Linked DNA regions of Drosophila melanogaster. The protein of the gene in region 2 purifies or fractionates together with the protein of the main gene of each other region. This does not show direct contact. Each region holds a gene or a part of one and is shown on either strand. Other genes may lie near its edges.

Region 1 (8,566 bases), on a different chromosome or scaffold from region 2:
CCACCACTTGACAAAGTCCGTCTCTAGTGCAACCATCGCTGGCTGTTCAGTATTTTTTTGCACCCGATTTTCGGCATTTTCCCGTCACTCCGCCTGCATTCAGCCTGTACACAAATCGGACTTGTGGTCCAATCCAAATCGAATGCCATTCAATGCTCGTCTGCGATTGTTGAATGTTTAAACAAACCGATCGGCGCACAACACACCGTCACCATGGGCAATAAGTCGTCGCTTTTCCTGCGGAACGAGGAGATCGCGCAAATCCAGGAGGAGACTGGCTGTGAGTACGATTTCTGGTCGGGATGTGTGATAACCTTGGGCTTTTTCAACCGGAGACTTTCAATGCGCCGTACTAAATCGAAATACGCACTTGGATATAAATTAATTGGGCCACGAGCAATGCAAACAACAACATCGCACTGGAGTGCTAAAAGCATTTCGGGTCCAAGACCATGGATTGCCAAAATGGATTCGCTTAGTTTCGATTCGTCATTTCTATAAAAATTCCAAATCTACGAACTATATGTACGTGTTCTAAAAAACTCCGTTCAAATTATGCAGAACTGAGTCTGAGCGATCTGTGCCCGCCTTATATAAGCGGTATATGGACAGATGGTTTGCAGCAAAAGCAATTTGCATTTCAAATGCACCTGCACTTCCCACATGACGTCATCGATAGTTATATACGTATATATGAGACGGGGGTGGGTGGGGGCAAAAGTCGACGCCTATCACCGATATTGGGGCTGGCAATTATCTAGTGTCCGAGAGCGTGTAATTTCAATATTCCGGGCGCGATAAGCGCACAATTGAAATTGCCACCGCATTGGAACTTGTATCCAATGTTCGACCAGCTAGTATCAGCTAAGATGATAAGGCGTTCGCTCTTATCAGCCAGATTTTATAGCAACTAATTCCGAACGGGCTTAGACTCATGCCCACACTGTTCGTAAATAGGTATCGTTCGAGTTTTCCATGGCAAAAGTAATTTATCTGAACAGTGTCGTTCAACAAAAACAACTTTATTAAATGATTTAACTTGACGGACTGTTAAATCGCTTATTAAAGTTAATATCATATAGGTATTTACAGTTGAATGTACATGTTTTAGTACTATCTTAATTGTATTTAATTCAAAACTAATTATCGATTGGTTAATTTTTATCAATTTTATTTTCCAGTCACCCCCAACCAAATCGAGCGACTTTACTCGCGCTTCACCTCCTTGGATCGCAATGATTGCGGAACCTTGTCCCGGGAGGATCTGATGCGTATCCCGGAACTGGCCATTAATCCGCTGTGCGAGCGGATAGTTCATTCCTTTTTCGCTGAGAGCAACGACGATCGGGTGAACTTCCGGCAGTTCATGAACGTCCTGGCCCACTTCCGGCCGCTGAGGGATAACAAGCAAAGTAAGCTCAACAGCCGGGAGGAGAAGCTGAAGTTCGCCTTCAAGATGTACGATCTGGATGACGATGGTGTGATCAGCAGAGACGAGCTGCTCTCCATCCTGCACATGATGGTCGGGGCGAACATTAGCCAGGACCAGTTGGTCAGCATTGCGGAGAGGACGATCCTGGAGGCGGACCTGTGCTGCCAGGGCAAGATCTCGTTCGAGGACTTCTGCAAAGCTCTGGACCGCACCGACGTGGATCAGAAGATGTCCATACGGTTTCTCAACTAGGCTAGCTGGATGCGGCAATCACGAGGAAAGAGCGACCTTCTTAGTCAGTGTGTACCAAATAGTTTAGGATGCAGTTAGTCGAGAGGCATTCCGGCGGGTTACTGAAAACTCTAATGATTTGAAAGCAGTGGTTGCTATTCTTATTATACCAGTTGTGTTTTCCAACCATTTAGAAGTTTCAATTTAATGAATGAAAATGAAAGTGTCGCAAAGTTTTTTAAACCTGAGTAATTTGCCCAAAGCTTATCGAAGATATTTCATTCAAGTTAAACAAAAAATGCATATGTTTGATCACGGGTGCTAGAGAAATACAGAAAAATATAACCAATTGCTTGGTATCTAAAAGTTAAATGCGTCCGGAAATTTGATCAAATATTTATGATAAAAATATAAATAAATCTTTTGCTGTCTTATATTACAAAAAAATAATTTTTACAAATCTTGTAGGTTTCAGGAACCCGTCGGATTTACTTGTATTAATAGTTGTTATGAAGAATGAAAGAGATGCTCATTTCATTTTGTTAATGCCTTGTTTTTATAATTACAAACTCATTCCGCTCAACGTAAATTCTAATTCAGCTGCTTACGAATAAAAGCATCGCGGATTAACACACTTATTGTTGAACATAATTTGAATAGTTTATTGCGTTATAAGACGATCAATTGGAATAAGTGGTTGTATATTCGTAATTTCATTGCCTGGACCATTGATTCCAGGTGTCGTTCGCCTTCTTCGACTTCGCCAGGGAAGCAAGCGCCTGAAACTAGAGCCAGAGTCGATTTATGTGGTGGTGGACACAGCCAGCTTCTTGAGGTGCTCCATGAACAGCTGCAGCGAAACGTCATCCGTGAGCACTGGAGCCCCGCCATCCTGTCGAGATAATGTCCGGAAAATTAGTCATGCGATGGGTGGGTGGGATCGTGCCAAGTGGGGAGGGGAGGATGAATGAAAAAGGGATACAAGCACCTAGAAGGGTCCAACACCAAAAGCCACTTATATATAAATCATGTTTGAAATTATTAAAAACAATATGAAAAAATAGGAACAGACAAAATCTTTGCTTAGATTAAGCCGTGTGGGGTTGGCCATCTTAGATTTATTGCAAAATCCAAAACACTTATTTTGGACTTATAGCTATCAAGAGCAAAGGACATATCCAATTTCCAAAGATTTTTTACCCGCCCCTTAAATTTCAAATATCCACCTTTCCACCAGTTTAAAAGTTGAAAATTAAACAAATATGTACTACCGTGACTTGACCGATGGGCGCCTGCGATTGACAAAGGAGCGGTTACGGATACGGGTACGGATTATACAATGAGAGAAACAAAACCAACATAAAACGAGATTGAGATTTCGATTGAGATTAAATTTTCGATGACGCCAAATGGAGCGCTGCAAAGATCAATCAAATGTGGCCAGTTGATGGCGCTGGCTGCGAGACTCACCTGCCCGTAGGCGTACATGTTGTTGTGCGTCTGCGAGGGATTGACCTTGGACAGCAGGAAGCGGGCCTGGGATCCGCCGTGCTCCGTATCGATGTAGCGAGGCATGGGGAAGCGCGTCTGAAGAATCTCTTGCGCGTCGTCCACCGGTGCTTGCAGCAGCTGCTTGAAGTTCTCGTACTCTGGCATGTCCTGGTATTTGAGGGCTCTCCACTGGGCGATGGTCTCGCCGTGGTAAATCAGAATCTGAAAGAACGTGTCCATCAGGAGGATGCGATCCGCCTGGATGGAAGCCGTATCGAGGAGGACCGGTTCTGGAGGGCCGTTGAACGAGTAGCTGTAGAGAATAGGCTGGATCATGATCAGCGATTGGGTGAGGTCCTCGCGCATTAGCATGTGTCGATAGAATGTGGTCTCGTCGGGCGAGTTGTTGAAGACCTGCAGGAACTGCGAGCGGCGCAGGTGGTACATGAATTGCGGGAATAGGCTGAAGTTTTGCGACAGCCTGAAGCTGTTGGGATCGTCCTTTGAGTACTCGCCGAACTTTTGGCACTGTAAAAGGAAAGCATTTACAATACTAATTAATTGGGCACGAGTAATTTTGCACATTGAAAACTTACCAGACGAATCAACTGACGATCGACCCAGCGCAGAATGTCGGGTCCTTCGTCAGTCTCCGCACGATAGACGACCATACGGGCCATCAGAACTGCGGCGGCCTCCTGATCGAAGCCAGCGCTGATGTGGTGCACGTTCGAGGTGGCATCGGCCCAACTGAAAAACAAACAGATTGAACCACGTAAGTAAACTCTGGGCTGATTTATGCCAACACATACTTTCTGGCCAGTGTGGTAACTCGGATTCGCCGCTGTCCACTTGGGTGCTGGTACTGCGTAATGAACTGTATGCAGCCACGCCCGCCCTGCGGAATGGGGGCTGCATGCTGGTTGACCACCTCAAAGAAGTAGGCTACGGTGGAGCTGGGATTCAATGTGCACAGCTTCCACTGCACCGTGTTGCCCATGCCGATCTCCACATCCGACACCGACGGGCTCTTCACATTCAGCGACACACACGAGCCGATGCCACCGGAGATCTTCAACTCGCGCGAGCACTTCACCTCCAGCGTGGCATTGAAGGCCATCTTCAAGTCGTTGCGACCATCACGTGCGAAGACGCGTTGGAATGTCTGCTTGAAGAGCGATGAGTTGAACGAATCGCCCATGACCATGTGGCCGCCAGTGGAGTTGCATAGCTGCTTCATCTCCAGCAGTCCGGTTTGGTCCAGGGCACACGAGTATATGTCGACACTATGCCCGTTGGTGGCTGCCCGCAATGCCAAAGCATCATAGTGTTTGATAGCCTTCTTCATAAACCGCACGTTGTCCTTGTGGATGTCGTGATGCGAACGAATCGGGTGCTTCAGCTCGTCGTCGACCACCTGGCCGGGGCCCTGGGAGCAAGGGCCACCCACGAAGGTCATAATGCGACCGCCCGTATTGGGATAAGTGCACTCCAACAGGCCCACCGCAATAGATAGGGCGGCACCAGTGGAGCGCAGGTAACGCTTGCCCTGCGGCACCGGCCAAGGATCGCGTTGCAACTCGCTAAGCAGATCGCCCAGCGCCGCGTCGCACTGGCCGATCGGTTGCAAGAAGCGATGGGCGGGCGGCACAGGGGCCGCCGCTCCAGCCGGCTGGCCGGGCAGGTGCTGCTGTTGCTGCGGCCCCGGAGCCGCTCCACGCCCAATTCCGAGCATATCCTGCACCTGCTTGGCAGTCAGGTCCTTGGTACCACGAAACACATAGCTCTTAGAGCAGCCTTCCGCGCCCAGCTCGTGCACCTGTATCATTTTTCCGAAGGTTATCAGACCCACGAGAGCGTTGGTTGGCAGCAGACTTAGCGACATTTGCAACGAATCCTTGAGGGCGTCCAGCTCCTCCTCGTCCATGCAGGTGTCAACCAGGAAAATGAAGACGGGCGGCATGGTGGGGGCCCGTGTAATAGTATACTCAATAGTGCTGAATCCCGGAATCAGCTCCGCTGGTTGGTGCTGCTCGGAAATGGCAGCATATTGAGGGGGAAACTGGAATAATGACTGTCATAAACTGCCGCAGAGAGTCTAAAGATCACCATTGAGCTCACCGGATTGCGCTGAAAACAGAAGTTGCACACCCACAACTTAGCACGGTAGTCCACCTGGCACAGTGGATTCAGGATGGCCCTGCAGTTGCTGCGAGTGCACAAGACCGGCTCATATTGAATAGGCGGTAGGTCGGGGCGCTCCTTCAAAGGCTGGTAAAGACAAGCTAGGGGCACCACCAGCCGACTGGCTTCGATGCGACTTGAGGGCCACACATTCCACGTCAGCCGCACTCCGTCGCGGTCCTCGTTCTGCTGGATGAACTCCTCGTAGGTGGTCATCGCCGGAACACTTAAATGTAATACTTAAATCGGAAAAACCTCTGTTAGACCTCTGCCAATTGGAAAAATCGGTCGGTCAGGCCACGTCACGGATTGACAGCGAGTCGTGACACCTTTCGTGCTGGCGACGGCCAAAATACTCACGCGAAAGTAAACAAATTCGCGAGATGAGTCTTTAAGAGGCTCTTCAAATCAAAGCACTCACTCTGGAAACAATTTATACAAACGTACAAAACGTAGAAACCTAGACTACGAACTATTACAGAATTTTAAGTGCAAACGTTGCATGTTAGGGAAGACAGTTTTCAAGCGATACTATCGCATGCGCCCCATGCGATTGAATGAATGTTTTAATATGAGAAAAAAAGGGTGAAAATAAATATGTTTTGAAAATGATAAATAAAACAAGGTTCGCCCATAATTTTTTCAGTTAATTTTCTTAATGATATATATTGTTATTCAAGAAGTATATATAATATAAATAAATATAAATCGTATTCCTAGAAAAGCCCCTTATCGTTTTTCTTATCGCCCCAACTAAATTTTAACATTAAGTTTTTACCCAACACCCCATGTATCGATTGCTATCGATGGCCAAACTATCGCACCGTGGAGTGCATCCCTGGTGCAGCTGTTTACTCGGCATTGTGTGTGTGTGCGTGTATTTTTTAGAGTTGAGTTGTTTCTAAGATGGCGACGAAAAAAACGCGTCTTCTTATGTGAAAAATGCAATCATAACAACTCGAGTTTTCTGCTAATAAATGTGCGCTAGTTTGGAACAGGACCATTGAAAAACAGTGCTAAGCGTGTGCCGAGTGTTTTGCATGTGAAAGTTTTGGTGCGGTAGCGTAGTGAAAATGGCCACAAATATGTATCGAGTCGGAGGTGAGAAAAATTTTCGCGTACTCGCTTTTCTATCATCTTTCGTTATCGGCGCCGCCGTTTCACGGTGTGCGTGTTCGCTTCTGCATATGTGTGTGTGTGTCCAATGTGTGCGTATGCGTGTGTGTTGTGTCTGAGGAGGCTTTCCAACAATAACGAAAGTGCATTTTAATTGCCGAAAACCCTTTAGTGGGAGACCCGACGCACGTGTATGTGTGTGTGTGTGCGTGTATTATCAATCTCAAGAACAATCCGTCGAAAAGGAGAGACCTTTTCTATTTTTTTTAACTTCTTTGAAGGAGCCCCCTGCTGCTCTTGTGTCGCAGCTGCAGCAAGTGTTTTCGACGTGTTCCAACCGATAAGCATTAACTTATGCCCTAAGTGTATGCGTGTGTGTGTATTCTAGGGCTGGGGAACTGAATTGCATTTGCATTTGGATTTGGTTTTGCCGAATTGTGATCTCTCCAGCGTGTGTGTTTGTTTGACTATGTGCGAAAGTGTATCTCACTTTTGGGCTCACCGCCCACCCGCCTTTTTGTGTTTTCATATGCTAATGAGCTTTTGAGCATCTCCCCCCATCTCACGCCTCCCACTCCTCACCCTGCCTGACGCACTTTCTGTTAGCCATCTCGCTCGCGCTCGAGCGGTGACGTTATTGTGTTGTCTTCACCTGATTTTCGCAAGTGTGTGGGTGTGTGTGCTCTTTCGAAATGCAAATAAGCTCGGTCGGATACGCAAGCTTTCAATTAACGGAATCAAAATAAATATTAATGGCATATATACTTGTCGAATTATCTGCTCTTTATCGCCGAGAACTTTTTGTCTCCATCGGCGTTTTTTGTTAGCCGTTTTTAATGGCCACGCACACAGTTACACACCTTCGGCAATGCTTTCTCGCTGCCTCCACACTTTCTTTTTCATCTCTCTTCATCTATCTACCCATCTATCTGTGTATCTGCATCCCAAAATGTAGCAGAAGTGCACACGACGTTTGTATCTATGTATGTATGTACATACAGATAAACGGAATTTCTTTTATTTTTTATAATAGTCAACGACAGGTTCCGCTGCAGTTGTTGTAGGTATAAAGTTATATGGATGGATAGACCCATATGTATTTAATTGCGCTTTAGCTGGTAGTGGTGGTCGCACTTAGGTGGATGCGTGTATAGGTGTATGTGTGCGCTTACCTGTGACGTATTAATGGAGTTGCAGCCCCCCACCCTTCCATGCCCTTTTCTGACCCTTTTGCATCAGCCACCTCAAAAACTGTTTTTTTTTCAGACTATGTTTACGTTGAGACAACGCCGAACAGTCCCTACTTAATACGACGCATCGAGGAGCTGAACAAAAACCAAACCGGCAATGTGGAAGCGAAGGTCATGTGCTTCTACCGCCGCCGGGATCTGCCCAATCCGCTCGTGCAATTGGCCGACAAACACCAACGTGAGTAGAGAAACCCTGTTCCCTCGAAACCGCATCCATATCTTGCGTTACGTTACCTCTAAGTGTGTATATTTATTGTCAACAAAGTGAGGTTATGTTGCCAAGAGTCGTTGTCGTGGCCTTCAAACAAGTTAAGAGTTAAAACCTGACGACCAGATCTGCTAAGCACATGCCCACCACAAAACAACAACAAAATGAACCCGTAAGGGGCACCACTGTGTGCGCTGTGTCAAGGCATGTGGAAAGCGAAGCCACCCACCGAACCACCCAACCTCCCACAGTGCCACCCCATCCCGCAATCCTAGTCAAACTTCCTGAGCAACAAGAACCGCAATGACAACAACTGTGAGGGCGGAGCGAAAACGGATTTCGTCCAGCATCCGACTCATCCACATAAACAGGCAGTGGAACCTTCAAACAACCTGCCACATCAACTGGCAGTGTAACCACTCTACTTCGAACCAGAAGCACCATTGATCTACGTTCCAGTAGCGCAATTTGAATTATTCGTGTCGCAAATTAGAAAAAGCATTTAGCAAATAGTCTAAAAAGATATTGGTCATAGAAACTAGGTGTTTTGGGAACTGGTAATGAACATAAACACGCATCGTGGTGCGGAAATAGCCTGTAAATTATTAAGTTCAACCTTAGGCATACATATGTACATACGTTAAGGTGCCACCG
Region 2 (7,658 bases):
TATATACATATATGTTTACTGTTTTACAGTTATAAAGTAATAAATGTTTTAGCTTTTTAAGGGTACACAAATAAAACGAAAACGATAAAAATCAAACCTTTTTAACACTAAGCCACACAAATGATAACGATTTTAAATGGTGACTGTTAATGGTCATAAGCTAATTAGCCAAGCAGCTATCTTACAAACATTAAAATGCAACTTAGCCATTTAAAATCGAATATTTTGCGTGTGCAGCTAAATTATGTTTTTCGAACTTCACCTTAACTTTGTATCAGCACTTTGTGTTCTAGTCCTTTCTGTGTTTCGTCCTTTAAGGTGAGTATGTTTAATATATATCTATTTTGATTTAATTATGGAGCACTTTCAACTGTCCGGCACAAAATGTTATTGTTAACTAACTTAAAACGTAGAATGGTTGGAAGAATGGATCAATTATAACGAGCGTTCCCCCAGATTAATCATACGCCACGTCGAACGAGTGGACAAAGTCCAAGTTTGTATTGTATAGCTAATAAAATGAAGATTGCACGGGTCAGACAGAAAATAATTATGACTCAAAAACGGCGGAACATAACATTTGTAGTCAAAACAGCGACTTATCGCACAAAACTGAAAATACTCGGTGAAAGTATTGCAATCTTTTTATAACTTATGGAACCGCCGATTATAAACAAAGTTATCACCCGGAAGTTACCAACACAAAAACGTACTTCACATGTAAACCCTGAACAAAAAAATCAATTTTTTGGGGATGTTTTTTTTTTGCACTGCCTGCCTCAACTCCCAATGAATTGTGACCTTTTCAAAAGAGTACTTTAAAACTCAAACAAAAATAACCCTTTTGCACAGTATTTATCGTAAATTTATAAACATTAACATACTTTGAGGTATGTGAAAGATGTCAACATTTTTGAATATTCGAGGTAGCTTTTTTTTCCTCTAATGGTTAAATATCTTTCTCAGCTTTTGTGAATGTGGTATTTTCTTAAAATAACATACATACATACGTTTTTTAACAACAAAATTAGGCAAATCACATCACTGTCAAGGGCAAATTTAGAATGCGACCAGTTTTTGGTGATGTATTGCACTGGCTGGCTATGTCGTCAGCACTGATCTAGACTGGCAATTAATATCCGTCTTTGTCACCACTTTAGCGGCCAAAAATCGTAGGTTATTTGCTAATTTTACAAGGAAAAACAATTGTTTTTTTCGCGGATTTTTGTAGACGTGTTTTTCTTTCACAACAACTACGGCGCAGCTGCGGGGTTAGGGTTGCCAAGGTCCCGCAAATGGCTAAAGATTACCGCAAAATGTCTTTATTTAATGTTTGTCCATTAATTATAATTATTTTGGCTATAAAAAACAAGTTTGATGGCTTACAGATTGAATGTTTATTGCACAACTATGATGTTTTAATTAAAAGTGGTACGCAATGCTATGGTCTGGCAACGCCGCGCAAACACCTGTAACAGCTGTCCGCGTTGCGTTGTGAATGGTCAACAGCTGTTAGACTTTTGTTTATTTTTGTGCTTTTCTAATTTTTAGAGATCAATTTGAAGAAACTAGCGAAATTCGGCGGAGTTAATGTCACGGAAACGTTAAATAACCAAGAACTTGATGCCTACGTACCGCTAAACAAGCTGCGACGCGCGTCGATTTTCAAACTGAAGTTACAGCCCGAGCTGCACGACAAGTACAATGTGTTTGTTCGCGCCGAAAGAAAAGCGGATGTGTTTCTGGGTGAGTTATAGTAACAAAATAACAAACAACCTGGCGGTATTGATTGCCACACAGTACTGAGTCCCCGTTAGCTAATTAAATGCTCTGAGACTGGGTTTCGGACTGATAAGGGCCCGTGATCTGTTTCGTTTGCCCCAATGAATACGAATCTCTACTGATAACCGCGCTTCAACCTTGGATGGAATCGTCAGCGTTGACGCCATCATCGATACATTTCCATAGGGCAAGAAAAACACGTGTGCGCAATTGATTTAGAAATTGTTTTCTATTTCCCTCACAGGCGACATCATCAAACGCATCGACAGCTACTACAAAACCGGACAAACAAAGGCCAAATCAGCCAAACTTCAGTTTCCCGACAAGGAAAAGGACACGGAAAAGCTAGAGGAAGATGTGGACTCCCCGAAGAACGAAATCGAAACCTTTTCGGAGCAGGAAATCCAAAGTTCTCCTAATCTGAATCAAACGCTTTTAGCTCCCAGCACTGGGCAGTCGAGAAGCACCCTAAATGCCATGCTTCTCCAGCGATGTGGCACAAAAATTGAGTTGGGCATTGAATCGAAACTGCTGGTGATGGCTGGTCAAACAGCTACGCTACTCTTTGAGGTCACCAACATGAAAACGGAAACGGTTTACTCCACCATTCAAGTCACCGACGAGCGGCGCTTCTTGGTTCAACTGAATCCTACCAGGTTGGAGCGCTTAAGAGCGAAGTCTTTGGTTTACACATTATATATCTTACGTACTTCTGCCTTTGTAGATTAAGCCTGCGCGCCCAGGAGACGGCTACAGTGCGTCTGACTGTTCTGGTGCCCACTGGCACAGCTCAGGGCACCACAGACCGGATTACCTTCACCAATTACGGTCGCGAAACATCTACTCTGGCGGTAAATCTTAAAGTGGTGACTAGCATAGATGCTCAGGTATGTGAACAGCCGATAACCTGATTATGAAAGCATAATTGAAATGTTTAAATATAATTTCCAGGACTCAACTGGACCTACACTATCCTGGGAGTTTGGCAGCCGCTGTGATTACCTGACGCCCGAATCCCAGAATTGTGGTGAACGTTTTTGGACTGTGGATGTGACCGCTCAGGACTGGCAGTCAGGCATGATGCGTTTGCAGGCCTCGCCGCCAGAGGGTCTTTTCTACAGAAACTATTATACTGCTGGTAGCACAGAGCCCCTGAAGGCAACCTACATGGCCTCTTGCTGCGAACCAAAGGTATCACTCATCGCTTTCGATGCGGCCGGGAACCAGAGAAGCCTCACCATCGATGTCAGAGATGTGTATTTGAACGAGGCCGCCATTGCAGCCATTTGCCTTGGAGTCATTCTCCTGATCCTGCTTATTGCAGCCCTCATATGGAGCATTGTGTGGTGTTGCAGACGGAGGAAGACAACGCTGGAGCTGCCCACATATAGATCCCACTCCACTAGGAGCATGGAGTAGATTGTTGTTATGTTATTGTGCCAAGTTAGAACCTATGTGGTCTCGAAGTCTAATAAAATGCCATAGAAGTACCAGATATACAATATGGCACCGTTTTACTAAATGTATGCAAATATTTAGGATACAATTGTTTGTCCCTGCATAAACTACTGAAACGAAGTGCAACTTAAAAAAAGTAGTATAAACAATGTCGGTGATTTCAAACGATTAAATGGACTTAACTAATGTCTTATTTAGGAAAACTATTATAATATATCTATATATTTGTTCAGCTAGTAGTAGGTATACATATTTGTTTAAGCCAAAATAAGTGCTGACCTGACCCATTCCTCTATACACTGAAAGTAGTTTATATTAACTTGATCCGTGATAAAGTCAACCCCAGTTTATGAAGAGGGTAAGAAGGTCAAGTGCCTTGCCAGGCTTATCAGCTTATCATTATAGCAGCCGAGCAACAGGTGACCCCCACTCCGCGTTAGATTCACGAACGTACGGTGACCCACTTACCGCGATTCAAGATGCCAGCGATGAGGACGGGCGCCGCTGGAGGCGTGGCATGGACCACGGGCGGGGCGGCTGGCAGGAGCTGCGGCTTGTTGGGGAAGTCGTCGAAACTCAGGCCGGTCACGGAGGCGCTCAGAAGCGGATTTTTAACGACACGCGTCTGGTTTGCGTTGTTGTTTACGCGAGCGGACACGTCACCTTTCGATCTTTCCGACATATTAGCGGCCGATCTGGAGCTTTAAATTGGGCTAACTCGATATGAAGATGTGTGCCAAGTGCACAGTTGCCTTAGGAATTATTTTTATACACAGGATATTGACACCCACGACGGATTAAAAGCGTTAAACCCGAGAAAACTTCCAGGCAGGCAATATTCTGCTTCTTTCCGCGCATTGGCCATTCGCCATGGAAAGCTTTTACCAGGGCTGCAGCGGATCCAGAAATGGATAGGCAAAAGCTGGTAATCAAAATATGCTTATAACATATATATTCCTAGCTAGTTTTAACTGGGAAAGAGTATGAAATCTCCGTGACTACCATAAACAAATTTTCAAAAATCCAAATAAACAGCAAAAATAGCCAAATATTGCTTTTGCTGCAGCCCTAATTCTCGGATATTATTTCGAATTGCAATTTGGGAAGAAGAAGAGTGAAGTAGATAAATCTTGATGATTTCTGCAAATATTAGTTTTTAAATAAAATTAATGGATTTGTAGAAACTCTGACCGTATTAATCGAGTTTAGGACTACAAGTGCCGTAAGCCCCGTCATGCCACTGTTTTAAAACAAGTGGAAAACCTTAGGGTCAATTTTTTTTGGGGAGGAGACCACAACAAATAACACCCACCGAATTAACTACGATTACTCATCGCCGGAATGTCTGGAAATCCTTTCGACAGCGACGAAGATCAAAGCTCGGCCAGTGGAGAGATACTAGAGGGCTTCCTATGTCCCATTTGCCGTGCGGATCTCAAGTCCATCGATGTGCTCACGGATCATTTTGCCCGCCAGCATGCGGAAGAGGAGGATGCCCTAAAATCCTTTAAAGATATCTTTACCAAGGCGAAAAAGAAGATCCTAAACCCCTTTGAGGATGAAAAAGGTGCATCTGTATCGTCGCCCGCAGGTTCCTCCTCTTCAGCGGCTGGCAAGAATCCCAATGGCAACGGAGATCGCAATGGACCCAGTAATGCCCGCTCCCGTCTAAATGTATTTAACTATATGGCCAGGCAGCAGCCTGGTGCTGAGTGCTCCCACTTCGAGTACTTTCAGTCCATTCGCAATCCTCGCCTGGAGCGATATGCCAGCGAAACAAACAAACTAATCATTCGTTTGCACCGCCTGCTTAAGGATCTGCCAGCGGATTCAGTGCAGCGGCGTCAGCATGAACAGCAAACAGTTGCCTGGCTGGATGGTAGTTCCGTCAAGTTGTGTCCCAGTTGTGCCAAGAGTTTCCACATCGCCCGAAGACAACACCACTGCCGTTTGTGCGGAGGCATAATGTGCAATGATTGCTCCAAGTTCCTGCCCCTGGAAGATGCCAGTTTGTAGATCCAATAATTGAGGAAAATAATGTAACTTATTTGATTATAATCCCGCAGTGCAACTAGCCAGTCTTTCCACCACAAGAAGCGAGCCCCTTCAGCAGCTGCATCAGCATGAGAACGCCATCCGGCTGTGCGAACACTGCCTTTGGCTGCTGGACACCCGAAAGGATATGCACGAAAGTCGCACTTGTCGCCCACTCCTCGTCCAGGTCTACGAACAAATTCGTCAACTACAAAAAGAAGTTACCCCGGATCTGGACATGTATCTAAAGATCATCAATAGCTTGAACGAAGGGGACACAATCTTCACGTTGGCGGATGCAGGTGCTTTGCGCGGCAAGATTGGACAAGTGGCAGAGGCCATGGACATGAGGAGCAAGCGCATTCTAGCCATATTTTGTGAACCAGGCAGCCGGGAGGAGGCATTAAAGAAGGCCATTCGGTTGGGCTGCATCCAAGCCATCAAGGAGCGAATGTTATCGCTGCCCCCACTGCCAGAGGAATCGCACATACGCCAGATGCAGGAGCGTAGACGCATGGAAACGGAGCAGCGTATCCTCACCGAACAGCGCATGGCCATGGAAGCCTACGAACGAAATAACATGGCAGCTAACCAATCCAACGTTGGAGTTCCTGGTCCGGAAAGCGGATCCTTTGCCCAAGGGGTATGTAGACGAGGACTCTCTGCAAAGATCAATATGTAACCTCTGTGATTCCATTTGCTTCACAGTCTGATCTTCAATCTCTGAACAACTGGTCAGCACCGCAGGCGGCTAGCAAGTCCAGCCTGGACGATCCGCTGATCGAGCAGATAAACATCATTAAGGGCTACATCAAACAGGCTCGCCAGGACATGAACTTTGAGGTGGTGGAGACGCTGGAGCTAAATCTTCGCGAGCTACAGCGCGAAGTGTACGAGCGACAGCGCCAGTCCCAGGGAAGCACCGCCGCCTCACCCACAGAGGCCTAAGCAGTATCCTACATAGTTAAATGTATATTCATTCCCTCTATGACAAATTACATGGCTTACGTTACGTTACGAATTTGTGGTGTATATTGTGCGAAAAATTTTAGTTTGTGCGAAGTTTCTGTAAATCAAAGTTTGTGCGTTTGACGACAACTGAGACTATAAAATGCAACATCCTATTTCGATTGAGTCTATGACTTCAGGCCAACGGCAGCGATCAGTGCCTTGACCTTGGTAATGTAGGCGGCCTGGGCGTCGGTATTGCTCATTCCCTTGCGGTTGTTCCACGCCTCCCACTTGGCCTTGCCCTTGAAGTCCAGAAAGCCGGGCTTATCTGCATTGGATTAGAATTATCGATGGTGCAGCGGAGTGACGACTATGTCCGAGACCCACCTGTATTGCAATCCCCCACAGTGGCCTGTTTGTACAAGCTGTAGAGCTCCAAAAGGTCATTGTCCCCGGGTGTGGTGTTTAGGTTCTTAACATCTTCGGCCGCCTGGTTGAATTCCTGTTTAGGTTAAGTTTGAATAGGTAATCAGACTTTAAGATACGAATGCGTATTTGACGTAGATTCAGTTCACCTGCAATTCGGACATTTTTGTATCTATTTTTTAACTAGTGGAAGTCTTTGGAAAAGAAATTGCACGATTTTACTTCACCGAATCTATCGGCGTCTATCGATATCTGGTCTATACTTTTGTGTGACCAACAGTTTTTCAATTTAGAGTGGACAAGCTGTTGCGTTTTATTTCGCGGGTCTGGCAGCCTATACACTTAAAAGATTCGAAGTCTAATTTCATATTGAGAACTGAGATACATTATTACGATGATAGTTAGGAACATGTGTAACAGTTGGTAGACAGTTTCTTGCCAAAACAATTGTGTTTTGAAAAAAGCTATGGAATAATATGAACAATATCCAAAATAGTCCGTTAAGATTTTCAAGACATTAACGAAATATTTTAAAAACCTTCCAATGTTGATTGTCTCAATTGAACATCTTTCAGCCCACTGTCCTGCTCTCTCCAAATGTGGCAACAAAAATGAGAGGCTTATGGCGCGTGAAACATGATTTCTATTAGTAACATATGGAGTAATGATGTGCTGTACGTCAACGTTTTGAACAGTTGTACATAGTAATTAAAATGTATCAATATTAAGAGGAAATTTAATATATAACTACTTCTTAAATACACAAAATACAATTGATTTCTAGCATATGTGGCCATATTAGACATCATCAATACATGAATTTAACTCATTTCATGATATGACACCCGCATAAACGCATTGTGAGAGCGGGAGAGCGTGGGTATTTAAGGAGAAGGTAGCGCTAACCACTCATTCAGTTCGAAATGTTTTCATCTGCGTTGGTCGTGCGTCCGGTGCTCCGCTAAAAGTAACAAAAAGTGCACAAATTGCCGGGAGAAAATGTTACA

What was found.
Region 1: the proteins of PAPLA1 (region 2) and Sec23 purify together in Drosophila melanogaster (affinity purification with western blotting, with the first as the bait; one study listed by BioGRID). This does not show direct contact.

Annotation. Positions count from the first base shown.
Region 1 is NT_033777.3:5,646,370-5,654,935, reverse strand, and holds Sec23 (secretory 23), read right to left. Parts: upstream 5,872-8,566; 5' UTR 5,699-5,871; exon of another isoform or gene 5,578-5,698; 5' UTR 5,555-5,577; coding exon 5,276-5,554; intron 5,217-5,275; coding exon 3,967-5,216; intron 3,905-3,966; coding exon 3,751-3,904; intron 3,683-3,750; coding exon 3,134-3,682; intron 2,956-3,133; coding exon 2,932-2,955; intron 2,556-2,931; coding exon 2,466-2,555; 3' UTR 2,307-2,465; downstream 1-2,306. Other genes in the region: elm (ethanol sensitive with low memory), read left to right, coding at 214-280, 1,182-1,684; MTA1-like (metastasis associated 1-like), read left to right, coding at 6,412-6,439, 7,721-7,882.
Region 2 is NT_033779.5:8,155,511-8,163,168, forward strand, and holds the start of PAPLA1 (phosphatidic acid phospholipase A1), read right to left. Parts: upstream 4,066-7,658; 5' UTR 3,923-4,065; coding exon 3,709-3,922; intron 3,277-3,708; exon of another isoform or gene 3,202-3,276; coding exon of another isoform or gene 2,734-3,201; intron 2,670-2,733; coding exon of another isoform or gene 2,507-2,669; intron 2,439-2,506; coding exon of another isoform or gene 2,027-2,438; intron 1,747-2,026; coding exon of another isoform or gene 1,552-1,746; intron 1,241-1,551; exon of another isoform or gene 1,011-1,240; intron 396-1,010; exon of another isoform or gene 263-395; intron 94-262; exon of another isoform or gene 1-93. Other genes in the region: CG43394 (uncharacterized protein), read left to right, coding at 1,552-1,746, 2,027-2,438, 2,507-2,669, 2,734-3,201; Rbsn-5 (Rabenosyn-5), read left to right, coding at 4,582-5,248, 5,307-5,917, 5,983-6,222; Acbp1 (Acyl-CoA binding protein 1), read right to left, coding at 6,411-6,553, 6,613-6,727, 6,801-6,815.